7 linked regions of the Oryctolagus cuniculus genome follow. The protein of the gene in region 1 interacts with the protein of each later gene in a pairwise test. Links are inferred from orthologs where the notes say so. Each region holds a gene or a part of one and is shown in the gene's direction. Other genes may lie near its edges. The genes, in order: PSMA1, RAD54B, TRIM23, PNMA1, CCNH, UBXN11 and MKRN3.

Region 1 (4,076 bases):
TCTATGAATTCATCATAAGGAGGTAATCAGGAAAGTACACCAAATAATGTATAATCATCATTATGGTATTTTTATAATAGCAAAAATTTGGAAAGAATCTAATTGCTCACCAATAGTAAGGTAAATTATCTCATTTCCACACAATAGAACACTATACAACTACTGAAAATATAATAGACATTTCATAAATATTTCAGAAATATTTATGAAAACAAAATGGCTATAACTTTTTAATAGTATTAAAAATAGTTTAATATAATTTTATATGTAAAAGAACTGACAGATTTGTATGCAACACATAACCATAAATATGTTACATGACAATTTTTAAATGGGCATTTAGTCACTCATTCAACATTCTTTATTCCCTTCGCCAATATTTATTAAGCACTTCATACATGCTAGGAATGTGTACATCAAAAAGATGAACTATTAATTTAATCTGTTACTTTAAAAATGACAATAACCATTGTTGCAAATTTGAGGGGGGCAACCCCATATACTACAGTTGAGGACCTAACAGTAAAACTTTTCTAAAAGCCAATTTAGCTCTTTTCATGAAAAGCCTTAAAATTATACATTTCATTTGAACCTGTAATTCCATTTCCTAGAACTGACTCAAAAGAAAAGAATATGGATGTTAAACATATATAGGAAACAGTTCGTGAGTTATTTGGAAGGACCTAAATATCAAACAATAGGGATCTGGGTAAATATATGTTCAGAATGCAGAATACCAGGGCATCTTTGTTTGACCTGCAAAATGTTGAAGACAAGAAAGCGTTCAAACACATACATGCAAAGGTTTCTAAACAGTGTGATTCTACACTGCTGCGAACCTGACCACACCACCTGAGCCAGTTCTTGTACATGCAAAACTCTCATCCCGAAGGGATGCTTTCAGCTCCAATGTCACCTTAATCTAGGCACTCACCTCTTCTTTAAAAAGAGAATTACCAGTTGGTAGGTGTTATTGGCAGCTATGCTCAGAGCTGTCTCAAACTAGTTCATTTGGGGATTTGCCAGAAGATCCTTTCGAAAAGAAAATAGATAATTCAGAAGAAAAAGTCCTTTTATTCTCAGCGGCCTAATCTAATCTATCGGGTGTCTGCTTGGTTCTGAGGGCATGGAAAGACAGTAGTTCAAAGTCCGGAGGAGGAAAACAACAGTGATAAAAAATGAAGGGCTGCTGGTATCAGGGTCTTCGAAGAAGAGATTTAAGGAAGGCAGAGGATTCATAAGTGCAAAGCAAAGAACGCACACCAGCAAGATACTCGAGGAAGAGTATGGCTGACACACATAAACAGGCGTTATTCTGTGGCCTTTCCTGAAGCCTCGTTCTTCTCAGACACACACAGCTCAAATCTCTGAGGACGATGAACCTGAGACTCCAGGACGGGCTACGAGCTGCTGTTTAGCCACTGCCTGCACTCCGGGGCCTACGTTTCCCGCCAATCTCAGTTCCTCCTTCTCCCAGGGCCCCGCCCACGCAGGAGGGCGCGAGGAAGCGCTGGAAACCTATCGATAGCTCCGGAATAGACTGATCTACCCTGCGCTGCCGCCGTCAAAACCCCGCAGCCTTTTCTGTAGATCGCCGAGCGGTAGTTTCGGCTGCGTTCCTTACTCCGCACCTTCGCTAGGAGTCCTGCAGCCAGGCCGGCGACGGAACCATGGTGCGTTGGGTCCCGATCCTTCGAAGGTTTAGGGCAGAGGTCCCAGTGACTTGGGGATGGCGAACCAATTCTCCTGCCGTTCTTAGAGCGGCCCGAGGCCACGGGGCATGGGAACCCCAGTCTGCGGGAGGGCTCCGGCAGTGATTCAGCATCTCCGGCCTGGCCTGGCGAGCTGCGGTCGGTAGCCGGTGCAGCCTTTTCCTCACGGCGCATTTCGCTATTCTCAAGGCCTCGATGAAGTGGTCGAGTCCGCCTCTCGAGTTCCCTCACCGGAGTAGATTCCCAGAGGTCCAAAACGATCCCTCGTGCTCTGGACGATAGAGAGACGGGACTTGACTCGGAGGCGGCCTTGTACCGCCGGGGCGGTCTAGACCCAGGGTGTGTGTCCTTAGATCGCGTCCCTTTCCTTGGTGGGTCCGTCCGACTTATCAGCCCCCTAGGGCGCGATCAGAAAAGGTCTCTTTCACTTTGTCCAGTCACCTGATTGCAAATGAGTGAACTTATCCTGAAAGGGGAAATGATGGACTCAGGATTATAATGTAGTTCTGTGGGCTTCAAGTCCCACGCCAAAGAGTCCAGCGTTCAGTCCGCTCTCCCCTGTGATTGTTCTGCCAAGTAGTGAAAGGCCTTTTTGAAGATTGTCTAAAACAGTAGTGTATCGTAGTTATTCGTATCTAGCCCAAAGTAACAAAGAAAAATTTTATGTGTACAAAAGTGCAAGTACAGGGGAGGCTCAAAGATAATCAGACATATCCCTAACCTTAATTTTAAGATAGAAAAGGATGTGTACAGAGCTGTGGGACTTCGTGCTGTGAGGGTTTTGGGAGAAGAATTCAAGAGATAGACATTTGAGCTCATTTAAAGAAAAAGTTTGATGCATATAAACTTCAATAGTTGAACCCAAAGGGAGCGCTATGGAGAGTGGCTGGGTAGAAAGTTGGAAAGATGAGACCCATTTAGAGCTGTTCCTTCCTCCCCAGCTCATAGAAATTGTAGACTTGGCTTGCCACTGAGTATAGTAGTAATCTTCCAGTGAGTTTGCCTTAACAGTTACTTTAATGTGTAATGAAATCACACATTTCTTAATATTAAGAGGAGGGTTCTGACAATAATTTGATCTTTTTTTTTACTTTCAGTTTCGTAACCAGTATGACAATGATGTCACTGTTTGGAGTCCTCAGGTAAGATAATGTTTCATACTATTCCATTCAAGAGCTTTTTCATGGCTGCAATATGTTTAGAAGGTTGTGTGATTGTAGACTGTGAGAAAATGGGATATATTCATTTTAGACACTCCCATAACTTAAATTTATAATTCAATACATTTTCTGGTTTTAAAAAAAGTCATTTGAGATTTAACAGTGCTCTTGAGGTTTGAGGACTCTTAATTCTTAATTTGTGAAACTCTTCTAAGGTGACTCTAAGACATGTGTTTTTTTTCCCTTTAGGGCAGGATTCATCAAATTGAATATGCAATGGAAGCTGTTAAGCAAGGTTCAGCCACAGTTGGTCTGAAATCAAAAACCCATGCAGTGTTGGTTGCATTGAAGGTAAATAAAGCAATAAATATATCTTCCTTTAGAAAGCAAAATTATCAAATGAAAATTTCACTGTGTAGGCAGTAAAGTTTTAAACTTATTTTTATCTTTTATGATGTCTATTTAGAGGGCACAGTCAGAGCTTGCAGCTCATCAGAAAAAAATTCTCCATGTTGACAACCATATTGGTATTTCAATTGCGGGGCTTACTGCTGATGCTAGGCTGTTATGGTGAGTATGATTTTGAAAAACAAACATCTCTGATTCATAATATTTTTTAAAGATTTATTTTATTTATCTGAAAGAGTTACAGAGAGAGGTAGAGACAAAAAGAGAAGTCTTCCATCTGTTGGTTCACTAGTCAAATGGACACAACAGCCAGAGCTGAGCCAATCTGAAGCCAGGATCCAGGAGCTTCTCCCACATGGGTGTAGGGGCCCAAGGACCTGGGCCATTGTCTGCTGCTTTCCCAGGCCATAGCAGAGAGCTGGACTGGAAGTGGGGCAGCCAGAACTTGAACCAGTGCCCATATGGGATGCCAGCACTGCAGGCCAGGGCCTTAACTCACTGCACCACAGCACTGGCCCCTGACTCATAATTGTTTACTTATCATGAAAAGACTGAGGTAAACTATGTTGGGAAGTTGTCTGCCAGAATGTTTATAAGTTAATATTATGACTATCTTAATGGATTGGGTTAGTTTCTGAATATTCCATATCCTGGTTCTTGTAATAGTAACTAATAGAATTCAACATACTGGTACTAAGACTTGAGAAGTCATCAAATAATGTGATAACTTAAAGTAACATGTGTTGTTTGAGACTCTGTTATGTCTAAGAAACACTTGACACTTTTGTATCATTTT
Region 2 (3,500 bases), on another chromosome or scaffold:
AAAGAGAGATTTTCCATCTCTAGGTTCACTTCCCAAAAGGCTGTAATGGCTGTGCCTCATCCAGGAGAAGCCAGGCATCCAGAACTCCACTGGAGTCTCCAACGTGGGTGGAAGGGACCCTAGGTAGTTGGGCCATCCTCCACTGTCTCCTCAGGTGCATTAGCAGGGAGCAACATTGGAAGTGGAGCAGCTAGAACTCGAACCATTGCTTTGCTATGGGATGTTGGCATTGCAGATGGCAATTTTTTAAAAAATTTAAAGAAAAAAGTATGTATGTGTGGCCAGCACTGTGGCACAGTGGATTAAGCCACAGCCTGTGGTGTCAGCATCTCATATGGGTGCTGGTTTTAGTCCTAGCTTCTCCACTTCTGATCCAGCTCCCTACTAATGTGCATGGGAAAGCAGCGGAAGATGGCCCAAGCCTCTGTACACACATGGGAGATCTGGAAGAAGCTCCTGGCTCCTGGCTTCTGCCTGGCACAGCCTTGGCCATTGTGGCCATTTAGGGGATGAATGAGTGGATGAAAGATCTCTTTCTGTCTCTCCTTTAACTCTACCTTTCAAATAAATCTTAAAAAAAAAAAAATAGAGTATATATGCATATGTTATTGATTTTCTTTTTTTACTCTATTTTAAAAAGTTGGAATGAAACTGAACATGTGGCTGTTTTTCATTTGTTGCATCCAAAACACTTCTCATGCCATTAAAAAAAATTTTTTTTTAAATTTATTTGAAAGGCAGAGTTAGAGAGAGAGACATCTTCTATCCACTGGTTCACTCCCTGAACTATCCAGTCTCCCACTTAGCAGCGGGAGCACTTGGGCCATCTTCCACTGCTTTCCCAAGTGTATTAGCAAGGAGTTGGAGGGAAAACAGAGCTGTAGGGACTTGAACTAGCTATCACATTGGAATGCTGGAGTTGCAGGTCTTGGATTAACCTGTTGTGCCACAATCCCAGCCCCTAAACATTCTTTTTTTTTTTTTTTTTTTTTTTTTTTTTTTTTTTTGACAGGCAGAGTGGACAGTGAGAGAGAGAGAGACAGAGAGAAAGGTCTTCCTTTTGCCGTTGGTTCACCCTCCAATGGCTGCCGCAGGTGGCGCGCTGCGGCCAGCGCACTGCGCTGATCTGATGGCAGGAGCCAGGTACTTATCTTGGTCTCCCATGGGGTGCAGGGCCCAAGCACTTGGGCCACCCTCCACTGCACTCCCTGGCCACAGCAAAGAGCTGGCCTGGAAGAGGGGCAACCGGGACAGAATCTGGCGCCCCGACCAGGACTAGAACCTGGTGTGCCGGCGCCACAGGCGGAGGATTAGCCTAGTGAGCCAAGGCGCCAGCCTAAACATTCTTTTAAAAAGTGTGTATTTGTCATTAATGGCTGTAGATTCATTCATATGACGAACACTAAGTGCTAGCTATGTGTTTGCTATAATAATAAATGAAATATTAGTATCCTTTATCTGAAATAACTAGCAATATTTTGTATATATAATGAAATATCTTAGGGATGGGACCCAAGTCAGAACACAGAATTCATTTGTTTTGTATATACCTTATACACATAGCCTAAGGGTAATTGTATGCAATATTTTAAGTGTAATTGCCTTTTTAAAGAAAATTAAGATTTAAAAATTTATTTTTGCTTTTCATTTTATTTGAAAGGCAGAGAAAGACAAAGATATTTCTGTTTTCTGATTCATTTCCCAAGTGCTTAAAACAGCTGGGCCTGGTCCAGGCCACAGCCAGGAGCCCAGTACTTAAGCCATGAAGTGCTGCCTCTCCAACCCAGGCTCTCTGATATGGCATACAGGTGTCTCAAGTAGCGTCTAATCTCTGTGCCAGATTACCAGCCCCAACACTTGCCTTTCGACTATGAGCTTTATATGAGGTCAGGTGTGGATTGTTTACACAGCTCAGAGGGAACATTAGAGCAGTCTGATTGCAGTGTGAAAATGTTTGGATAGTGCGTGCATAATCAGACTCATGAATTATTTCTGTTTTGGCTGTTTTTCAGGTCAGTACTATTGACTATGAGACGATCTGCAGCACCAAGTCAGTTGCAGGGGAATTCCTTCAAAAGACTAAAATTTTTACCCCCAGGAAGAAGTAATCCAAGTCCAAAAGAAGAAATTATAAAACTGAATCCAGATATAAAGTTATTTAAGGTAAAAAAAAATAATACAGAGAAACTTGTATTTAAAAAATTTTTATTTATTTGAGAAGCAGAGAGACAGATTTTCCATCCACTGGTTCACTCCCAAAATGCCTGCAACAGCTGCAGCTGGGCCAGGCTGAATTCAGTAGCCAAGAACTCAATCCAGGTCTCTCACAGGGGAAGCAGGGACCCAACTACCTGAGCCATCACCTGTTGCTTCCCTGGATACGCAATAGCTGGAAGCTAGAATTGAGGTTGGAGTTGGGACCAGAACCCCCGCACTCTGAAGCAGGATGTGGGTGTGCCAAGCGGCATCTTAACTACTGTGCTGCTAAACTCCTGTCTCTCTGCCTTTTTTAAAATTTTTTTTTATTTTTTATTTTTTGACAGGCAGAGTGGACAGTGAGAGAGAGAGACAGAGAGAAAGGTCTTCCTTTGCCGTTGGTTCACCCTCCAGTGGCTGCCGCGGCTGGCGCGCTGCGGCTGGCGCATTGCGCTGATCCGAAGGCAGAAGCCAGGTGCTTTTCCTGGTCTCCCATGGGGTGCAGGGCCCAAGTACTTGGGCCATCCTCCACTGCCTTCCCGGGCCACAGCAGAGAGCTGGCCTGGAAGAGGGGCAACCGGGACAGAATCCGGCGCCCTAACCAGGACTGGAACCCGGTGTGCTGGCGCCGCTAGGTGGAGGATTAGCCTATTGAGCCGTGGTGCCGGCCCTGTCTCTCTGCCTGTAAAAAAAAATAAAACTGTTGCAAAAATGAAATTTGTGACTTCCATTAGTTGACTTACTTTGAAATCTTATCAGAGGTTTTTGAAAATGTAGCCGCTAACAGTAAATTTATTGTGATGATTATAATCCTGTCACCCACATGGGGGACCTGGATGGAGTTTCTAGCTCCTGGCTTTGGCCTGGCCTAGTCCTGGCTGTTGCAGGCGTTTAGGAAACAAACCAGCAGATGGAAGATCTCTCTGTCACTCTGTCTTTGAAGTGGGTGAAAGTAAATAAACATGTTTTGAAAAGGTTCATATTTTAATTCCAGGAATATGAATATGTTACCTTACATAGCAGAAGGGATTTTAGTGAATTGATTAATTTTAAAGACCTCAGTTGAGATGAGGAGGTTGTCCTGGATTATCTGACTGGGCCCCAAATAATCTCAAGTGTCCTTAAAAGTGGGAGGAGTCAAGAGAGTCAGAGATTATGTGATTATGGAAGTGATTATGGAAGTAGGGGCAGAGAAATGCAATACAGCTGGCTTTCAAGATGGTGGTGGTGGTGGGGCGCAAGCTAGGGCATGTGGGTGGTTTGTGGAAGTTTGGAAAAACATGTAGCTTCTGGAAAGGAATGTG
Region 3 (3,943 bases), on another chromosome or scaffold:
ATACCGGTTCAGAAAATACTGATAGGAGGAAAAGCTTGCACACCTTCAGCACAGACATAATCTGACTCAAATATTTGCGATCTGCGGTTAAGATTAGGAACCCAATGCGGTGACGGTCAGCCGTACATTTTAACAAATCTACGTTACGCGTGGCAGGGCTATGTATTGCTAAATCCTTCGCACAGTTGCTACGCAGTGCTAACACCCCAGATAAACCTGAAACCTGGTAACTTCCCAGTGCCCACTAAGAGACGAGAGACGGAAGGAAAAGCCATTTCGGATGTTTGCTTTAATGCACCCCGGTTCGCAGAGGTCTCCCCAGTAGGGGCGCGGCCTCGGCTCTGCATCCAAACATCTGGTGACTGCAGCAGCACAGGTCAGGGAGAACGACCAGGTGTCTGTTTCGTTCCAGAAAGCAGCTCTGAAAGCGAAACGCGAAGAGGCCAAGTCGCCTCCTCCTGCTCGCGCCGGACGCAGCGCGGGGCGGCGGGCACCGAGTGTTTTGAGGCCTGGCCCCTGTCACAGAGGTCGCGTCTGTGTGGCAACGGCCTTCGGGAAACTGCGAGAGAAGGGAATAAGACAGAACAACGGTACCTCGGCACACATTTACCTTTCAGCGCCAGCAGGTGCTCCTGTTTGGGGGGATTCACTTCCATTTTGACCGGCACGTCTGACTCCAGGCCTACGGGGGCTGAAGAGGTTCAACTTGGCCCGGAAGGGAAAAAAAGCGTACGTCGGGCAGAACAGGCGTCAAACGTCCTCCCAACAGCTTCTTTGTACCTTAAATTCTCCTTTCACTGCGTCCTTTACGGACCCAACGGCTTCTTTTCACCAAAGCCATCCTTTGGCTCTTGGAGATCTGCACAGAAAATACGGCGTTTTCCGTCTACGATCACACATTGCGACTGGAAGCAACCACTGTAACGATACGCGGCCTCTTAGAGATTAAAAAAAGGGCGAGAACGTGGCATGCCGGGATTTGTAGTGCAAGCAAAAGTCGCGTTGCATGAAGGGAGATGTAGTATCCGCCTTGGCTAGTTTGCCATTAGAGAGCCGAACTCATAACCGGGCCGGGAATTTCACCTTTAAACTTTAATTATGTGTTATCCATTTTTTTCCTTTGACTTTTTTCTTTCAGCAGTTGCAGGCTTCTTAGGAACAAAAACAACACGAGCAGGACTGTGCCTCCAACCCAGCCGAGGCTGACGGGAGGCGGAGCCGCTGACGGGAGGCGGGGCCGCGTCGTACTGGGCCTGTGCGCCAGCGGCGTGCGCGGAGGCCTCTGGGTAGGTGGCTCGACCCCGCCTCCCAGGTGAAGGCTCCGAGGGCTGCTCCTGCGCCGCTGCTCTGCCCGGGATGGCTGCTCTGGTGGTAAACAAGCCTGGAGCTGGGCCGGACAGTGGCCGGCAAGGCAGCCGGGGGACGGCCGTGGTGAAGGTGAGGGACTCTGCGGACTGCGCTCCCCGCTTCGGCCGTCCTCCGGCTCATCCGGGAGACTTGGGCGGCATCCCTGGGGCCCAGGCGCGGCCGCGGCGTCCCTGTGTGCCTGGCAGGCAGGTCTTGGCGTCCCTCCGTCCGCGACCTGGATCCCCGGGCCCGAAGTTGCCGGGTCTAATCCTGCAGATGCCAGCATGCACAGCGGGGACGTTTGTGAGAGGGAGCTGTGGGCCTGTGGGAGTGGCCCGGACCGCTCTTTCTGTAGCCCCTCTATCTTAGTTGAGCCTAGGAGGCGTTAACTCGCTTGGTTTTGTAGAATTGAGCCATTATAGCCTCCAGGTACTGTGTTAGGGGTTTTAGCTGGTTGGCATCTACTCATGAGGTGGATGCTAGCTCTCGTTTTGCAGGAAGGAAACCCAGGTTTCGGTTAACATGGTGTGCGACTTTAACGCCTGCGGCGTCCACTACGGCGCAGCTTCTGTGATTAGACGTCTGTTACTGGTGAGCTGCGCCTTTCCCGCTTAGCCGTACAGCCTGTCGACATGGTTGAGAAGTCTCCAATGGCAGTACAGTTGAATCTTAACTCTGGGGTGCCTGAATGGCCCTATGCTGGAAGGTTGGGATGCTACCATGTATAATGCTCCAAAAATGCACTTACCGAAAAGTCAGTTGAAACACATGGCACTCATTTTCCCTGTGCTCTGAAAATATCGGAGGATTTGACAGAGAGAACTGATCTGAATGGTTCATGCCAACCTTCGGGATTGTCAATGTTATAAGCAATTGGTAATACTATAAGCAATTGGTAATACTATAAGCAATTAGTAATTCTCGTTCCTGACTGCATGTCAGGGTCACCGAGGCCTTTTGTGGAGGAATGGCGCACTTCTGCGGTTATTAGGTTGGCGTTTCTACACATATTTCAGTCCCAGAGTGACTTTGATGTACAACCAGGGCTGAGAATTGTTGAACTAGATAATATCTGAAGTTCTTTTGACCTTTTGCTTATTAGTAGGCACTTATGTTTTCTCACCTAATGTTGGTTTTATATAACAGCAAGTGACACATTTCTGCCCACAACTTAGTCATTATTATTGCTTGTTGATTCAGCTGACCTTTATGTAGTAATTAAGTTATTCTGAATATATAGAGCAGCATATCTGAGATACAGAGGAGCCCTCATTATTAGGCATGTTGTATGGGTGAGATTTTATTTATTGAATTGTGCTTTTGATAAATAGAGAATACCTGAAGATTATTTGTGAATTGACTTGAAGTTTAATTCCATAATTGGAGTATCGTTTACATTTCTGTTACCTTGTTTGCTTTATAATCTGAAAAAAAGTACCAAAATGTGATGCAGAATTTGTTACAGAATTTGATATATTAGAAGCATTTTTAGCATGTTCATTTTTATTTTAACATGTAAAATATTCTGAACTGTGCAATAAGATAGTCCTTTTTGATGAAAGAAGAAATTCATCAGAAAGTGAAAGTTGACATTTATAATGCTAATGCTTTGTAAAATGCTGTCTTGTTTAGTGACCAAGTTGATAATGGCAGGGTTTTTATTGTTAGGAAAAACAAAATCTGATATTGCAAAATTATTTACATTTTAAAATTAATTGCAAAGTTTCTTTTGTTTCCTAAGCTTTCTTATAGTCCTTTTAAAGTATGATCTGGTTTGTTCAAATTCGATTTACATGTAATAAGTTGAAATTTTCTTGTGAAGTATGAAATTTACCACCCCCCATCTAGGATTTAATTTCTTACACTGTTCTCTTCAATAACTGTTCATAGATACTGAGGAAAGACTATCTACTAAGTTGATACCTGAATAATTTTTGGACCTGTGGTTGGCTTACTAAATGGAATTATGCTAATGGTTTTTGAAAAAAAAAAAAAAACCTATAGTAACAACATGAGCAAGTTACCTTGTTTAGTGATGGGTCAGAAGTATAAGTGTGAATGAACTAAGAAAGTTTTTTTTTTTTTTTTTAAAGATTTACTTTATTTGAAAGACAGAGTTACAGAGAGAGGTAGAGCCAGAGAGAGAGAGAGAGGTCTTCCATCTGCTGGTTCACTCCCCAGATGACCACAATGGCCAGAGCTAAGCTGATCTGAAGCCAGGAGCCAGGAGCCTCTTCCAAGTCTCCCACATGGGTGCAGTGCCCCAAGGACTTGGGCCATCTTCTACTGCTTTCCCAGGCCACAGCAGAGAGCTGGATCAGAAGTGGAGCACCTGGGACTCAACCTGGCACCCATATGGATGCTGATGCTGCGGGCCAGGGCTTTAACCTGCTGCGCCACAGTGCCGACCCCAAGCAAAGTTTTAATTTTATTCTTTTGAGGTTATTGTCAGAAATAAATTTAACATGCAGTATTCAATAATGAGAGCATTTATTAAAATCTTAGATTTATTTTATACTGCCTAATTCTATTGTGAATATCTTTTCTGTATTAAATTTGATGAAGTGGAGCTTTTGTCTTCCTTTTTAAAACGATG
Region 4 (4,090 bases), on another chromosome or scaffold:
TGAGGCACACACTCGCCCCTCTGCCGCCGCACCTCCGCCCAGGCACGGAGGTCTCGTGCTGCTCACGGCCAAAGGAACTGCCCATACTTAACTGCCTCAGTGACCTGATCTCTCATGTGCCAGATGCCTAGATGAAGAAGGAACACAACACATCCCGAAGCCTCGGCTGTTTAGCACCCTCTCCACGGGGGCCCGCTTTTCTGGACAGTATTTATTACTAGACTGGCAAGCCTGACTCCTTTAGGTTTACAGGAAGTGTGCATATTTTTATAAAACAAGTGTCCTCCCCCCCCCATTTTGCTGTGTTACTGTTTGCCTCTAACGATTTGCAGCTGTTTCTGTTTCACCTTTTACTCATTTGTCTCCAAGTTGAAGGCCTTGTAGGAGGGGACAGCCTTGACAGTCTGTAATTATTGTACAAATATTTTAATAGCATATAAAGAAGTATATTCCTTTTATTTTGAAACAGATGATCAGACACTGCCTTTTGTGTGTTTGCTGCCTGTGGCAACCTTTTTTAAAAAAGACTGTTACATATGAAAATGGTGTACATATATATAAATATATAAATATTACCTCTTTGGCTGTACAGTTGTGATAGAGCAGATGGAAGATTTTATTTTTTGTGTGCTTTTTATATAAAAATTAATACACTAAAGAGAATCTTGCTGATGTGATTGTAATGTACCTATGTAACTTATTTACTTTTGAATGTTCTTCTGTATCTTTAAACCTTTCATTAAATAAGGTTTTAAAAATTCAGAGTTGGATGCTGTGTTCTTTTGGGGGATTTTCATCCTCTGAGATTGACCGAAGCGGCCCTTGCTCTGGCTTGAAGAGTACCCGAGGCAGGGATTACAGAATACTGGTGCGTTGCCAGCTGTAGGTAGGTAGGTGGCCGGCCTTTTGACTAAGTGTTAGATAAGAGGAAGTGGCCGGCGCCGCGGCTCACTAGGCTAATCCTCCGCCTAGCGGCGCCGGCACACCGGGTTCTAGTCCCGGTTGGGGCGCCGGATTCTGTCCCGGTTGCCCCTCTTCCAGGCCAGCTCTCTGCTGTGGCCAGGGAGTGCAGTGGAGGATGGCCCAGGTGCTTGGGCCCTGCACCCCATGGGAGACCAGGAAAAGCACCTGGCTCCTGGCTCCTGCCATCGGATCAGCGCGGTGCGCCGGCCGCAGCGCACCGGCCATTGGAGGGTGAACCAACGGCAAAGGAAGACCTTTCTCTCTGTCTCTCTCTCTCACTGTCCACTCTGCCTGTCAAAAAAAAAAAAAAATTAGAAAAAAAAAAAAGATAAGAGGAAGTGTCCAGTCTGTGTGTCACACAAGTGGGATACTTGGGAGCCTTCGTTTCCTCTGGATGAGATGCCGTCCACGCACCTGGCTTGATGCGCCAGTTGCATGAGCAAGTCAGCCACCACGGGTGATACCCACTAGTATCTGAAATCCGCTCCGGATTAGAAGACAGAAGCCCTCGATGCTTATTGGTATTTTTTTTTTCATTGTAAAAGTCTGGAACATCTGATGGCTGCGGTACCATGGCAACCGCTCCCCCCACCCCGCGCCGCTGCGCACGGAGTCTTCGGGAGCGCGTCGTCCGGGACACCGTTGCCATGGTCACGCGCGCGCGCCTCGCCGGCGACCTGGATCCGGTGCGGCGGCCGCGGCTCGCGGGCCGGCCCCGCCCTGCACTGCGGCGGGAACGCGCCGGCTGCCGAGCTGCGCCACAGCCGCCGCAGCCCGTCGCGCCACGCGAGCCCGGCCGGCCCCACCAGCCTTCGCCTCCCGCCTCGCTTCTGCATCCTTCCTGCGTCTTTGCTCCCCTCAGCCCTCGGTTTTCAGCGGTCCTCGCTGTCCGGAGGGGTCCCCGCGCCCGAGAAGAAGCCGCTGCTCGCCGGCTGGCCCGGCTGCCGCCGCGGTGACCTCGGACAGCCTCTCCCGCCGGGCCCGGCACGCCGAGCGCTCCTTCGGGCTGCCGCTCCTCGCCCCGCTGAGGGCCGGGCTCGGACCGCCAGCGCCGGGGCGACTCCGGGAGCGGCGGCCACGCCCCGCGGCCACACCCCGGCGCTCCCGGGCCCCGCGGCTCCCGCAGGCTGCACTCTGGGGCCGCAGACCCCGACCCGGGACGCGAGATGGCGACAGCCGCGTGACTGACTGAGCCCCTGCGAGGCCGCGCCGGGGAGCCGCAGACGGACAGCGGGGCTTGGGTGTCGCTTGTTACCAGCGACCGCGGGGACCTGCCGCCCGCGCGCCTGCTTGCGGGGAGTGTCTGGTGTTGGTTGGAGTTCGGGGAGCCGCAGTCTGATCCGTATCTGTCGAATCGGTACCTTTGATAGTTGGGAACATGGCGATGACGCTGTTGGAAGATTGGTGCAGGGGCATGGACGTGAACTCCCAGAGAGCGCTGCTGGTTTGGGGGATCCTAGTGAACTGTGATGAGGCTGAAATCGAAGAGACCCTCCAGGCTGCGATGCCCCAGGTGCCGTATCGAGTGCTTGGGAGAATGTTCTGGAGGGAAGAGAACGCGAAAGCAGCCTTATTAGAGCTCACTGGCGCTGTGGATTACGCCGCGATCCCCAGGGAGATGCCTGGCAAAGGAGGGGTGTGGAAAGTGCTTTTTAAGCCCCCCACGTCTGACGCTGAATTTTTAGAAAGGCTGCACCTCTTCCTAGCTCGGGAGGGGTGGACCGTGCAAGATGTTGCCCGCGTCCTTGGGTTTCAGAACCCGGCCCCGGCCCCGGGCCCCGAAATGCCAGCCGAGATGCTCAGCTATATTTTGGATAATGTTATTCAGCCTCTCGTGGAGTCCATATGGTACAAGAAGCTGACGCTGTTCTCGGGGAGGGACATCCCGGGGCCTGGGGAGGAGAGCTTTGACTGCTGGCTGGAGCACGCTAATGAAGTCATAGAGGAGTGGCAGGTGTCCGACACAGAAAAGAGGCGGCGGCTGATGGAGAGCCTCCGGGGCCCCGCCGCCGACGTCATCCGCATCCTCAAGACCAGCAACCCCGCGATCACCACCGGCGAGTGCCTGAAGGCGCTGGAGCAGGTGTTCGGGAGCGTGGAGAGCTCTAGGGATGCGCAGGTCAGGTTTCTGAACACGTACCAGAACCCGGGAGAGAAGTTGTCGGCTTACGTCATTCGTCTGGAGCCGCTGCTGCAGAAGGTGGTGGAGAAGGGGGCCATTGATAAAGAGAACGTGAACCAGGCCCGCCTGGAGCAGGTCATCGCCGGGGCCAACCACAGCGGGACCCTCCGAAGGCAGCTCTGGCTGACCGGCGCTGCGGAAGGGCCGGCCCCGAACCTCTTCCAGCTGCTGGTGCAGATCCGTGAGGAGGAGGCCAAGGAGGAGGAGGAGGAGGCTGAGGCCGCGCTCCTGCAGTTGGGCCTGGAGGGGCACTTCTGAGCCCCAGGAAAGAGGGCTGCCGTGCAGACCCGGCCCGCAGCTGCTGTCCTGGTCCCGAGTAGTAAAGGCCTAGCTGCCTGCTGTTTTCGTTGTGTTTTTCTTGGAGGGAGGGGGTTCTGGCCTGCCCGTTCCTGTAACTCCGCCGACACTGCACAGAGCATGGGGAGCTGCTACAATGCCGATGGGCTTGCTGGCTGCGGCGCCCGCTGTCGACATGCCGGCACCCTCGGCTGTGACAAGTGTGAACCCGTGACTCTTCCCATGGAGATAAATGTGAAGTCGCACGTGCAGATGTTTAGCCCAGGGCCTGGCTCGCAGGAACCGTGAACCATCACATTGTTATCAGCGTCGAGGCTAGTGTGTGTTGACTGTAAATCATTCCATGTTTATATTAATGGAAAGAAACGTGCATTGTTTAGGTAATACTGCTCAGCCTCACAGTGCAAATCTCTTAGTGCTCATCTTTAAAGAGCCGGATCTGTGGAACAGAGTGTTCTGAGACTCCAGCTGGGGCGCTGGAAAAGGACTGCAGTTCCGGAGCTGTGCTGATCAGAGGTCGCGCAGAGAAACCACCTGGGGAGATGGCTAGGACCCGGTGACAGTGACCCACCCATCCCCCCACTCCCCTTCCAGTCCTTGTCAAAATAGTTCTTGTTCACCCAGATTTTAAATGTTCTACATTTGAAC
Region 5 (4,230 bases), on another chromosome or scaffold:
GTTAATTTTCTTAGACTACGATTTGTTTAAGGTTTAAAAAATAGACCAGGAACACCAGGTTTTTCATATTTATCTTCCTAAATGAACCATGACACTCAACAATTTGACTTAGATCCCTGTGGAAATCATAGTCTGCCAACTCTGCCAAATGCCCGTTTGTAGCTGCTTCTATTTAAAACGAAGGAGTTGTCAAATAGCTCACAGAAGAACAAAAGCCACTGAAATGATGCACAGAACTGCCACAAACCCAAGATTGCACACACATACTCTACTTATCTGGATTACTTCTCTCCCTGCCTGCCTTTTGTACCTTTTTCTTTCTTCCTTGTAAGTTCTTCTTTCTCCATCTCCACCAGCTCTTAGTTGTCCATAGTGCATTGGACTCAGACCGCCATGTCCTCTTCAGCATCATCACGTCTTCTTCCCTCTTCCCTACTTTTTAGCAATGCACTGGTCTAGACTACGGACACATGTTCGATGGCACGGATCTCCAAAATGATCAACCACAAATGATAAAATTTAAGGAATTCTAAAACCGTAGCAAACCACAACTGCACCAAAAAGGGGGGGGGCTCCCCCTTTCTTAAATTTGTAAGACATTTTCATAGAAAGCAGAGTAAAGTCATCTTCCACCTGCTTTCACCCCTGTGGACGTTTCAAGACCTAAACTCCGTGTCTCGTCATCATCATCTGATTTTTGGATGAAATTTTCCTGGGGGCTTTGATACACAGAACTAGGTTTCCTTAAATGCGACAAACAGAACTGGCAAAGACTTAACTAATACGGATTTTGTACCTCAAGTGCAATTTTGGAAGCTGTAAACCTCTGTGACGGTAGTTATCGTTAAGACTCCCCAGAGTCCTTTACGAAGATGAGAATCTCAGGAGAACCCCGCAACCACCAGGACTCCCGGCTCCCGAGAGGAACTGGAAGCGGGCGCAAGCGTTACCCACAGGAAGGCAGGGGAGGCGGACAGACGAGGCCCCACTAGTGGCAAGACGGCAGCGTCCCACGTGCACTGCTCCGGTCGGCCAGCCCTGTTCTGCTCTCGGATGGTGACAGGGCTCCCAGGACACTGGTGTCCTCGGCTCTCCCGCCAAACACCCACGAACGCCTCCGCTGCAGGCCTCAAGGACGCAAGATGGCTGCCGACTTCGCGGCTCCCTCGGCGGTGCCCCGCCTCTCCTCAAACACCTTCCCCTTCAACACGGTCACCCTCCCTCGGGAATCTCCCTCAGCCTACTCCTCCCCTCACGCCTCGTCCCCTTCGGGTGCCCTCGGACCAGGCTTCCTTAAGCACCGGCTACAAGGGCCAACGCGCAGTCCCCAGCTCCCTGACCCGAGGGGGCGGGAAAGCCCGCGGCCCCGCCCACGTGCGTCGCAGGAGCCGCGCCGCATCCCGCCCTCCCAGGTTGCTCCGCGCAGGGCTCGGCACGTGATCGTGACGTCAGCGCGCGCGCCGCCGGCCTGGCGCACTCTCGGCTTCCGCGATCCCGCCGCGCTCGGGCTCGGACTTCGCCATGTACCACAACAGCAGCCAGAAAAGGCACTGGACTTTCGCCAGTGAGGAGCAGCTGGGCCGACTGCGGGCCGACGCCAACCGCAAATTCAAATGCAAAGCGGTGGCGAACGGGAAGGTGAGATTCCCCTCGAGGGGCGAGGGGCCGGTGCGGTGCGCGGCTCTCAGCCTGGTCGGCGGCGGGAGCTCCCCGGGCGCCCCCCGCGGCCTCTGCCTCGGCGGCGCGGGTGTGCGTGCGGGTGTTGGACAAGTGGGCGGGCGCCTTGCCGGGGTCCGAGTCGAGCCAGCGCAGTCCCCGCGTCGGGAGGCAGACGAGTAACTAGTGCTCGTAGCACGCTGAGAGCGCGCGGGCGGGCGCCTTCCACTCGCCCCGAGGGGATGGCGGGGAAGGCTTTTCCCCCGGGTGCAGGGTGCGGGAGATCGCGCGGGTGAAAAGTGGGCGGCGAGAAGTTGCCGGGCGGTGCGAGGTGTGTGGCTGCTGCTGCGGAGGGGGGGAGGGGTGGTCGCAGGGGCTGGGGAGGGCAGGCGAGGGACTTGGAATCTGTACTGAAAAGGCGGGAAACCTTGCAGAAATTCCAGCGGGAAATTAACTTTCTGGGATCTTGGTTCTGGAAGGCGATCTCAGGCAGCCTGGAGGGGAGCGCGTCAGGCGAGGCAGAGAGGAGACCCTGAGCCCAGCCAGTTGAAGACTGCCCACGGCCCCATAGCCACATCCCTTCCGTTAGGGGTCCCCGCCGGCTTTAATCCGTCAGCTCCACCCCTACCCCACCCCCCACCCACCCAGCACACGCCTCACTCCAGCAAGGGTCCCATGCGCCAGACCTGTTGGTACTGAGCTGCTCTAACTCACGTGTGTTTGCTATCACTGTGTTGCACCTGTGCTAACGATCGAGCGCTACTTTTAAAATAAAGTGCCCAGGACTGGGTAGCTTACAACAGCAGAAGTAGTGAAGGTGCTTACTGTTTCCTGTCGCAGCTGTGTGACATGATGGTTGACGGACAGAGAGATGCTGGAAGTTTGCCAACCACTGGAAGACCGTGTGCTTTTCGATTTATAATCGATGGCATCAGATCTGTTAGCATACGTATGCACGGACTTGGCTTCATGAAGTTCAGCTGACAGTCTGAGGCATTGAAATGACCACATACACTCTGACATGTTTTCCTGAAGCTGTTTTGTTTATGATGAGCGAGTCTAAAGAGAAAATGAGGCGTGGTGTATTTGTGTTTGTTCGAGAGGAAAGCTAAATGTAGTAAGAGAAGGCTTTGACGGTATTTAATTCACTGAACCTGTGCTCTGATTTTTGATCAAAAGGTTCTTCCAAATGATCCAGTGTTTCTTGAGCCTCACGAAGAAATGACACTCTGCAAATACTATGAGAAAAGATTACTGGAATTCTGTTCCGTGTTTAAGCCAACAATGCCAAGGTCTGTTGTGGTAAGTTATGGTGGCTTTGGAGTTTAATGTCCTTTTAGTGACTTATGAAATCTGACCTCTTTGAAATCTAATAAATTTTCTGTTGACTGCTCAAAAATTTACCTTGGTTTTAATTGTTCAGTTTTTGCTGTATATTTTTCAATAAAGGCCAAAAATTATGAATTACTGTATTGTGTCTTGCAAAGTATTTCTTAGTCACATTTCATAGTCAAAAGAGCCTAGAGGTCTAGTAGACAGGCAGTGACAGCTCATTCAATAGAAGAATAAAAAATCAAATTGCTTTCCAGTTGTTCACTAGTGAACAGTAGAACTGGAACCAGAACGCAGACCAGTGCTTTTTCAAAGGTACCTGTTTGAAATACTGTGTTCATTTATCAGTTGTAATCATATGCTGCAGCTGAAATTCATGCCACAGATTGGTTTTTAAGATTTATTTGTTGGAAAGGCAGACTTGGAGAGACAGGCAGAGATGTCCATCCGCTGCTTCACTCCCCAGATGGCCCCAGTGGCCTAGGTTGGACCAGGCCAAAGCCAGAAGCTTCATACAAGTCTTGCACATGGGTAATCGGGACCCACTTGGATCATCCTCCACTGCTTTTCGCAAGTCATCAGCCAGGAGCCGGGTCAGAATAAGATTCCAGCATTGCTGGTAGCAGCTTTTACCTGCTAAGCCACAACAACGGCCCTGACAAGATTTTTTTAAGATTTATTTATTTATTCAGAAGGCAGAAGATCTTCCATCCACTGGTTCACCCCACAAATACCCACAATAACCTGGGCTGGGGCAGGCTGAAGGCAGGAGCTAGAAACTCTGCCCAGGTCCCCCACATGGGTGGCAGGGTCCCAAATACTTGGACCATCATCTGCTGCTTTACCAAGTGCATTAGTAGGAAGCTAGATCGAAAGCAGAGCAGGGGCCAGTGTTGTGGTGTATCGGGTTAAAGCCACCGCCTGTGTCGCCGGCATCCCATGTGGGTGCCAGTTCAAATCCTGTTTGCTCCACTTCTGATCCAGGTCCCGGCTAATGTACCTGGGAAAGCAACAAAAGGTGGCCCAAGTCTTTGGGCCCTTGCACCCATGTGGGAGACCTGGAAGACACTCCTGGCTTCGGTTTGGCCCAGCTTCGGCTGTTGCAGGTATTTGGGGAGTAAACCAGAAGATGTAAGATCCCCATCTCTCCCTCTTTCTCTAATTCTGCCTTTCAAATAAATAAATCTTATACACACACACATAGATATATTAGAGCAGCCAGGACGGGAACTGATACTCCTA
Region 6 (3,500 bases), on another chromosome or scaffold:
GCAGAGGCAGGACCTTTGTGCTCCCCAGGGCCCCCCCACAGGCACAACCTCTGCATCTTCCTACCCGGAAGGCGGCTGGGGAAGCGCCGGGCCTTGCGCTCACCCTAGGCCTCGCTGCTGCAGGATCAGAAGATACTGGCCCTGGAGGACTTGGTGAAGACCCTCCAGCAGCACCAAGGTAAGAGGCCCTCCTGGGGGCTGATCCCCCGGTCGGGACCTCCCTTGGCCCTGTGCCCCTGGGTGGGAGCGTAGGTGGTGAGCAGCAAGCTACTCCCTGGTGGGTCTGGAGAGCTGAGCCAGAGCTCGGCGCCGACAGCTGGAGTCAGAGTGCCCTGAAGGTAGCTGCACTACCCAGAGCGTGGTGGAGCCACAGCACTGAGGGGCGAGGCAGGGTGCCCTCAGGGGAGCGGGGAGAGAGGGCAGAGATAGAGGGGGTCCCCTGCAGGTGGTTCCTCAGGGCCCCAGATGGCCCTCAGGGCAGAGGTGGCCTGGAAGCTGGAACAGCCAGACCCCATCCCCATCTCCCCACCAAAGGCGAGGCCTCCCAGCAGCGGCAGGAGGAGCTGGAGACGATGTGCGCGCAGCTGCAGCGGCAGGTCGGGGAGATGGAGGTGAGGGCGGGCCCGGGGACGCAGCAGTCCGCAGCCCGCAGCCCCAGCTCCAGGCTGTCTGCCCCTTGGGACGGGGCCAGCACCTACTTCTCTGGGCCCCTCCACACCAAGCCTCCCCCTGGGGGCCCTGCCCCGTGAATTAACCCCGAGTTCACAGAGCCACAAGTGTCCAGGGCTCACCCTGTGAGTCTGAACCGCCCTAAGCACACCCCGCTTGCCTCCTTGGCCTCGGGGCTCCCGGCTGGGCTCAACGCCAAGGGCCTCCCTGGCCCCTGCTGATTCTTTGAACACGCCCAGTCTGTCCCGCCTCGGGACCCTGGCCCATTGCTGTTCCCTGGCCTGCAGTGTTTTTCCTTCCTGCCCCAGCCCTGTCCTGTGCTTTCTCAGTACCTCCCTTCTCTGCCGTGGACTGTGAACTCCGGGGCGGGCCACCTCCCTCCCGATCCCAATCCCCGGAGACTCATCAAGGCCATCCCCTATCTCTGCCTGTGACTTCTTCCTCCCACGCACACACCCATTCAGACTCCAAAGCTTGAACTGGAGGGGCCAGGAGCAAAGACGTGTCCCAGGTACACACACGTCCCAGGCATTCCCACCCTGCCCTGGCAGGAGCCAGCCTTCCTCTCCGAGCACAGAGTGGGTTCCTAAAACCCCAGTGGAATCCAGGGCCACAGAGGCCAACCCCAGAGCCTCAGCTGCAGCTGGGAGCACCTGTCGCTCCAGGCCTGTTGGTCCCTGGGGCTGTGGGTAAACACAGCTGCCCCCACCCCCCAGGCTGCTCCGAGCCTCTGCTGCAGGGGCTGAGAGGCTGTACCCCAGAGCCCCTGGTGGGAGGGCATCACTGGCTCTCACGAAGCAGGTGCTTAGCAGAACCCGCTGGGGGCAGCACCCTGCAGTGCCTGTTCTAGTGCCTGGTTGGAAATCTGAACAAGACAGACATGGTCCCCACCCTCAAGGGGCTGACAGCGTGGAGGGGACGAGACATTAACAAGTACATGAAAGAGACACAGAGACAGGGAGTGCTATAAGATAATCCCGTGTGTGACACACTGGAGACGGATGGGGACGAACCACTGTGGAGGTGACCTTGGCCATGAGATCTGGGGGATGAGGGGCAACCAGGGGCAGAGGACCCAGGCCAGAGACACGAAAGCCTCCCCTTCTGCCGGGTACACTTGGCTGATAGCGGTTGCTGGTCATGGGCAGCAGGAGACCAGAGGCCGGAGTGGCCCCATCACGCAGGACTCGCTGCCCGTGGTGCGCGTGGATTCCACTGGGAGGGAATGGGAGACCACTGGGGGTGTCAGAGCGACATGAGGGGAGGACCCTCCTACTGCGTGACGACGGGGACACAGGTAGAAGCCGTCTCCTGGTTGTCCAGGAGCGTGACAGTGGCCGTGGTCTGAGCTGGGAGGCAGCGCATGGGGCAAGAGGGGTCGTTCTGAGGCTGCTTGGGAGATGGCAGCCACAGGCCTTGAGGGGCATCCGGGTGTGGTGGCAGAGAGGGGAGCGGGTGCTGGATGATGCCTGGGTGGAGGGGGCGTCACTGAGACAGGACCAGGAGGTCCAGGGCATGGGGGCGGGAGCCGTGACTGTTCAGTGATTGCGAGTTGCATGGCAGGCATTAGAGTCTATGTGGTTGGAGACGGGAGTGTGGAATTCAGGCTGGGATCTGCTTTGTGGTGCAGCAGGTTAAGCTGCCGCTTGCAGTGCCAGCATCCCGTACTGGAGCGCTGGTTCAAGCCCTGGCTGCTCCACTTCTGAGCCAGCTGCCTGCTAATGCTCCTGGGAAGGCAGAGGAAGCTGGCCTAAGTACTGGGGCCCCTGCCACCCACATGCGTGACCCAGATGGAGCTCCTGGCTCCTGGCTTTAGCCCAGCCCAGTCCTGGCCGTTGTGGCCACTTGGGGAGTGAGCCAGCAGATGGAAGATTCTCTGCCTGTCAAATACATAATAAATCCTAAAAAAAAAAAAAAAAAAAAAAAAAAAAAGTCATAAGGGAGTGCTGTGGACCTGCAGTGTCGCTGTCGCTGTCGGGTGGAAATGGGGAAGCAGCAGGGGCTGGCCAAGGAGCAGCCAGGCGGGAGGAAGCCCAGCCGCTGTTGAAAGAGATGAGGACAGAGGTGCGCCCGCTGGGTTTGGCAATGGGCAGGTGGTTGGTGGCTGCACCATGAGCAGCTTCAGTGAATTGTGGGTTGAGGAAAGAAGGGGAGAAAAGGAATTGGCAACAGGAGGTGTAGACGATTGAAGTTCTGTGGCAGAGGGGAGGGAGGCCAGGCCCTGGGGAGGCCGGCGTGTGGCTGGTCCCGTCCTCAGAGCCAGGGTGTCCCCAGCCCCTCACGCTCAGGCTGACCCGCATGGCTGCCCACAGCCACAGCGGCCGGCTTTCCTGCTCAGCGCTGGATGTGAACTAGGTGCTGTGATCTCCTGAGGCTCCAGGAGGTAAAAGGCTTTCCAAGGTCACAGCCAGGAAGCAGCCACGGTCTCAGCCCATCCCCTTGTTCTGTCAGCTCTGGGGCTGAGCCTGGGGACGGAGCCAAGGCCACTCGTGCCCTGGGAAGGGACTGAGCTGGCAGTGTCCCCAGCATCACCTCCTTTCCCCACAGCGGTTCCTCAGCGACTATGGGCTGCACTGGGTGGGCGAGCCCATGGACCAGGAGGACTCCGAGGGTAACATAGCCTCAGAAGATGGCGGGAAGGCCTGGATGACAGCCAAGAAGTTCTGGAAGCCAGGTAGCCTAGAGGCTGTGCCCCAGACGCCCTCAAGGGGGATCCTCCAGCGGCTCCCAGCATGCCCCGAGGGACCCCTGACACAGCACGCGGGAAAGGCCTCAGCCTTCATCACTGACCAAGACGCACCTTGCTCTTCTGCAAGGGCCCCCGAGGCCCC
Region 7 (4,242 bases), on another chromosome or scaffold:
ATAAGCTCTAATGCCTTTATATTTTTGGAGGAAATATTTTAAAAGCTTTAAATTAGAGGATTATATGATTCCATGTGTAATTTATAGATTTATATGCATATTTCTTATGCTTTTCTTATTTTTATTGATATGTTCTAGACATATGCCCATATCTAATAAATTTAAAAGAATGACTTAATCTTGTTCCTGATATCCTTTCATGATTTTTTTAATGTCTTTTGTTAATTAGTGATATCACTTTAAAAATTTCTAGTCTGGGTTATTCGAACTTTGTTCGTTTTTTCTCAAGTAATTTGGTACAAATTTATATTTACTTAATTAGGATTTAATTTGATGACATGGATAAATGTGTCATAAATATTCAGACTTTTTCACTTTAGAATGGAAATTTAAGTTATAAAAATTTCCCTCTAAGAAACTTATTCTAGCAAATACAATTCGTCAGCACATCCTAACACGGAAGGATTAATTATGAGACAAAGAATAAATCAAATGTTTGAAATGCTGGAAGTGCTAATGATCACATTCAGGGCATTAAAGGGAGAGGGAGCATAACCTCCTTAGAAACGCAGAGAGCTCTCCTGTAACATTCAGCAGACAGCCGCGCGCCCCTGAGCAAAGCAGCAGCACAAAGACAGTGACTGTGAAAGGAAAGGGAAGAAAGCAGCTCTCACCGTCAGGGCAGCGGCCGAGCCTGAAAAGCTGTGCTGACCCCGCAGCCTCAGCCTCGCTCGCTGGGCGGAGGGAACAAAGGCCACCAAGAATTAAACCAGCCGGGAAGAAAAGCCGGGTCGCGCCGGGGGCAGGAGCCTTGCAAGTCCCACAAAGGACGCCCTCGGCCGGGGCTGACAGCCTCAGCCACACGTGCTCCCTGCTCGCGTTTCCTCCAGCAGCCCAGGCAGACCCTGCAGCAAACAAAGACCCCAAGAAACGATGTCTGGTGGCCGCCGCGCAGCGCACAAAGCCCCCGCAGGGGCAGCCAGGGGGCAGCGGGACACCACAGTGGAGACAATGCGCGGTGCGCAGACAAAGGCGGTGTAAAATCCACGCAGGGCATGCTTCAGAAACTGCAGGATTAGCCCATCAGCACGTGGAGAAGCAGCGAGGATCGTGAACTTTCTTTACGCAGACACGTTTGACAAATAATCAGAAGTGCATGGCAGAAACTAAAGACATGGAATTAAAACCTCATCTGCCAGAGGAGACAGTGTGGGAGGGGGGCTTGGGGTCTGCGGGAAAGCAGCAGAGCAGGGAGCGACGCCAGAGGAGGGGGCGCGGAGCCCGCCTTTGCCTGTGTGAACAAAGGAGCTGTCAGATTGGTCGGCCGTGGAGACCCGGCGCCGCGCGCTGCCGGTGCCACCACAGGAAGTGTCCGCCACGCTGCCTGCAGGGGAAAGAAGGTAGGAACACACAGTCACAGGGAACAGAGAGTGGGGGAAAGGAAAAAAAGGTGCACACTTCCCCCAAAGACACCTCCGTGACCGTCCCGAGCTCCAGGGCTCAAGCCCAAAAGGAGACAGCACCGGGGAAGTTCCCGAATCGTTTCTGGGAGAAGAAGCTGCCATGGAAGAGCCTGCAGCTCCCTCTGGTGCCCAGGAGGCATCTGGGGCCCAGGCAGGGGCTGAGGCAGCAGGGGAGGGTGCATCTGGGCCCAGCCTCCCTGAGTGTGAGACCTCTGGGGAATCTGTGGCTCCAGACACAGCCCCTGCTCGCGCGGCCTTGGGCCTAGTCCCTCTCCGTGTGGCTCCCAGCCCAGCCCATCTGCGGATGGTGGGCCTGAGGCACGTCCAGGCCGCAAGGGGAGGGGCCAGGCCCAGTCACCTGCCGAGCCGGAGCACTGGCAGCTGGACAAAGCAAGTCGTCTGCAGGTATTATCTGCATGGGCTGTGCAAGGAGGGGGAGAACTGTCGCTACTCTCACGACCTTTCTGGCAGGCAGGTGGCCCGAGAGGGCCATGGCGCACCGCCCCGGGCCTCTGCAGACAGAGGCCCCAGCATGGCTGCGCCCAGCCAGCCCCCAACTCAGGAAGTGGCGGAAGCCGCCCCTGCTGCATCCTCAAGCTCCTTGCCTCTGATTGGCTCGGCTGCTGAAAGGGGTCGCTTCGAAGCCGAGTTGGAATGCGCTGGTCAAGGGGCTGTCGGAGGATCAGGTGTAGAAGGCTGGGAAGAGGCCGTTGAGTTTGTTCCCGGGCAGCCCTACCGGGGCCGCAGGGTCGCTTCTGTCCCCGAGGCTCCTCTACAGAGCTCGGTGACTGAGAGAGAGCAGATGGCTGTGGGCATGGGGCAGCAGATGGCTGTGGGCATGGGGATGCAACTTTGCCCTCACGCTGCCAGGGGACAGTGCTTTCGTGGGGAGAGCTGTATGTACCTCCACGGAGAGATATGTGACATGTGTGGGCTACAGGCCTTGCACCCCTTGGATGCCGCTCAGAGGGCAGACCATAGAAAGGCCTGCGTCGAAGCACACGAGAAGGATATGGAGCTCTCGTTTGCCGTGCAGCGCAGTATGGATAAGGTGTGTGGCATCTGCATGGAGGTTGTCTATGACAAAGTCAACCCCAGCGACCGCCGCTTTGGCATCCTTTCCAACTGCAACCACCCCTTCTGTCTTAAGTGTATCCGTAGGTGGAGACGTGCCAGACACTTTGAGAACAGGATCGTCAAGTCCTGCCCACAGTGCAGAGTCACCTCCAACTTTGTCATTCCCAGTGAGTTCTGGGTGGAGGAGGAGGAAGAGAAGCAGAGACTTATTCAGCAGTACAAGGAGGCGTTGAGCAACAAGCCTTGCAGATATTTTGCCGAAGGCAGGGGCCACTGCCCGTTTGGAGAGCACTGCTTTTACAAGCATTCATACCCTGAGGGCCAGGGAGAGGAGCCTCAGGGGCGGGGTGGTGGACCGTCGGCCGCATACTGGCATCAACTTTCGCAGCCTGTGCAGCTGGGAGAGGGCAGCCTGCTCTTTAAAAGCAGTAAAAAGGAGCTTGTCACGCTTCGGCTGGCCAGTCTGTTGTTTAAGCGGTTTCTTTCACTGAGAAACGAGTTCCCCTTCTCTGAGGAGCAGTGGGACTTGCTTCATTATCAGCTGGAAGAGTATTTCAACTTGAATCTGTAGTATCCTGCCACACTCTGATCAAGTCTGCTGGGGCTTTGTCGTCTGCTGTTGGCTGTTTTCCCTTTATTGACATGCCTGTCACTTTCAGGGGCTGTGGTGGCGACTTTTATGCAGTGTTTCTCTGTTTTCTTGTCTATGCCCCGAATCTTTCCCCTAGGGTAATGGTGGTTTCATGTGTTAAAAAATAGTAAAGAATCCTTAAAGTTACTGTTTGGTGGAGCTAATATGACTGTTGCTTTGTGGGGTTTTTGTCATGTCTGTTTTTCAACAAAGTTCACTCAGTCCTAGTCTAGTGTTTACAGAATTTCTACACTCATTTTGAAGTCCCTCAAGAACAAATGTGACAGGGTGAAAGGGAAGTCTTAACTGGAAGCTTTTTGCTACAGTAGCCTTAAGAAGTGGACACTCGCAGGGCCTTGCTTGTTTTTGTTTGTTTACATCACTGCTCCTTCTGGCATCTCTTAAAGTGCACTTGTTAACTTGTGGTTACTTTGTGATTTCGTGTTTTACTTGAACAAAACCAGGTGCAAATGTTTACATGTTTTTATCCTGTTCAACTTGATGTGAAGTTATTTTATTTATATTTGGAAGTATGTGCTTAAAAGTGATATATTATATATGCATATTTGTGTATATTAGCTCTGTATTGGAAAATTTATATAAAATATACATCGTGATGTATATGTTTGCATAATAAAATAAATGCAGAGATGAAAGCTGAGGTCAAGGGATAGCAGGCTTGGCTGCTGTGTGAATAATCTTTCCCTTGCACAGATGTCACTTTTTAGCACCTAATGAAAACTGTTGTTCAAGTGTAATGCCAAGTGTAACAGATACAAGTCTTAAAGGATATATGAAACATGACATTGGTAATTCCTATGACCTCACTGTGCTGTTATAAATACAGAAATGTGTACTTCCATGCAGTAGAGCCAACAGCTCATTCATTATAACATAAAATCCTGAGCTCAGACATACAGTTGTTCATTTTCATTTTTTAAATATTATTTTTATACTTTGAAAACGGGCTTTTCATAAATTTATCAAAATAAAGGTAATAAGCATACAACATGTAAAATAGAATAAAATACTAAAACTAGTTAGGATATAAGATTGGAAAGATAAAAGAAT

What was found.
Region 2: the proteins of PSMA1 (region 1) and RAD54B interact in a two-hybrid assay, tested with the Homo sapiens proteins (2 studies listed by BioGRID and IntAct). The two-hybrid records come from large-scale screens. The link is inferred for Oryctolagus cuniculus from reciprocal best matches to the Homo sapiens genes PSMA1 and RAD54B.
Region 3: the proteins of PSMA1 (region 1) and TRIM23 interact in binary tests that used the Homo sapiens proteins (3 or more experiments, as listed by UniProt). The link is inferred for Oryctolagus cuniculus from reciprocal best matches to the Homo sapiens genes PSMA1 and TRIM23.
Region 4: the proteins of PSMA1 (region 1) and PNMA1 interact in binary tests that used the Homo sapiens proteins (3 or more experiments, as listed by UniProt). The two-hybrid records come from large-scale screens. The link is inferred for Oryctolagus cuniculus from reciprocal best matches to the Homo sapiens genes PSMA1 and PNMA1.
Region 5: the proteins of PSMA1 (region 1) and CCNH interact in binary tests that used the Homo sapiens proteins (3 or more experiments, as listed by UniProt). The two-hybrid records come from large-scale screens. The link is inferred for Oryctolagus cuniculus from reciprocal best matches to the Homo sapiens genes PSMA1 and CCNH.
Region 6: the proteins of PSMA1 (region 1) and UBXN11 interact in binary tests that used the Homo sapiens proteins (3 or more experiments, as listed by UniProt). The two-hybrid records come from large-scale screens. The link is inferred for Oryctolagus cuniculus from reciprocal best matches to the Homo sapiens genes PSMA1 and UBXN11.
Region 7: the proteins of PSMA1 (region 1) and MKRN3 interact in binary tests that used the Homo sapiens proteins (3 or more experiments, as listed by UniProt). The two-hybrid records come from large-scale screens. The link is inferred for Oryctolagus cuniculus from reciprocal best matches to the Homo sapiens genes PSMA1 and MKRN3.

The regions. Positions count from the first base shown.
Region 1 is NC_091432.1:51,702,962-51,707,037, forward strand, and holds the start of PSMA1 (proteasome subunit alpha type-1), read left to right. Parts: upstream 1-1,276; 5' UTR 1,277-1,670; coding exon 1,671-1,673; intron 1,674-1,815; exon of another isoform or gene 1,816-2,051; intron 2,052-2,809; coding exon 2,810-2,854; intron 2,855-3,121; coding exon 3,122-3,223; intron 3,224-3,338; coding exon 3,339-3,442; intron 3,443-4,076. UniProt on the Homo sapiens protein: Component of the 20S core proteasome complex involved in the proteolytic degradation of most intracellular proteins. This complex plays numerous essential roles within the cell by associating with different regulatory particles.
Region 2 is NC_091437.1:119,876,979-119,880,478, reverse strand, and holds part of RAD54B (DNA repair and recombination protein RAD54B), read left to right. Parts: intron 1-2,012; 5' UTR 2,013-2,028; coding exon 2,029-2,163; intron 2,164-3,500. UniProt on the Homo sapiens protein: Involved in DNA repair and mitotic recombination. May play an active role in recombination processes in concert with other members of the RAD52 epistasis group.
Region 3 is NC_091445.1:86,572,744-86,576,686, reverse strand, and holds the start of TRIM23 (E3 ubiquitin-protein ligase TRIM23), read left to right. Parts: upstream 1-1,143; 5' UTR 1,144-1,356; coding exon 1,357-1,437; exon of another isoform or gene 1,438-1,869; coding exon of another isoform or gene 1,870-1,938; intron 1,939-3,943. Other genes in the region: TRAPPC13 (trafficking protein particle complex subunit 13), read right to left, coding at 611-656.
Region 4 is NC_091451.1:19,888,785-19,892,874, reverse strand, and holds the start of PNMA1 (paraneoplastic antigen Ma1), read left to right. Parts: upstream 1-1,290; 5' UTR 1,291-2,341; coding exon 2,342-3,403; 3' UTR 3,404-4,090.
Region 5 is NC_091445.1:10,326,788-10,331,017, reverse strand, and holds the start of CCNH (cyclin-H), read left to right. Parts: upstream 1-1,430; 5' UTR 1,431-1,521; coding exon 1,522-1,638; intron 1,639-2,835; coding exon 2,836-2,958; intron 2,959-4,230. UniProt on the Homo sapiens protein: Regulates CDK7, the catalytic subunit of the CDK-activating kinase (CAK) enzymatic complex. CAK activates the cyclin-associated kinases CDK1, CDK2, CDK4 and CDK6 by threonine phosphorylation.
Region 6 is NC_091438.1:145,182,106-145,185,605, forward strand, and holds part of UBXN11 (UBX domain-containing protein 11), read left to right. Parts: intron 1-71; coding exon of another isoform or gene 72-123; coding exon 124-178; intron 179-534; coding exon 535-611; intron 612-3,216; coding exon 3,217-3,343; intron 3,344-3,500. UniProt on the Homo sapiens protein: May be involved in the reorganization of actin cytoskeleton mediated by RND1, RND2 and RND3. Promotes RHOA activation mediated by GNA12 and GNA13.
Region 7 is NC_091443.1:13,380,112-13,384,353, forward strand, and holds the start of MKRN3 (probable E3 ubiquitin-protein ligase makorin-3), read left to right. Parts: upstream 1-1,442; 5' UTR 1,443-1,563; coding exon 1,564-3,111; 3' UTR 3,112-4,242. UniProt on the Homo sapiens protein: E3 ubiquitin ligase catalyzing the covalent attachment of ubiquitin moieties onto substrate proteins.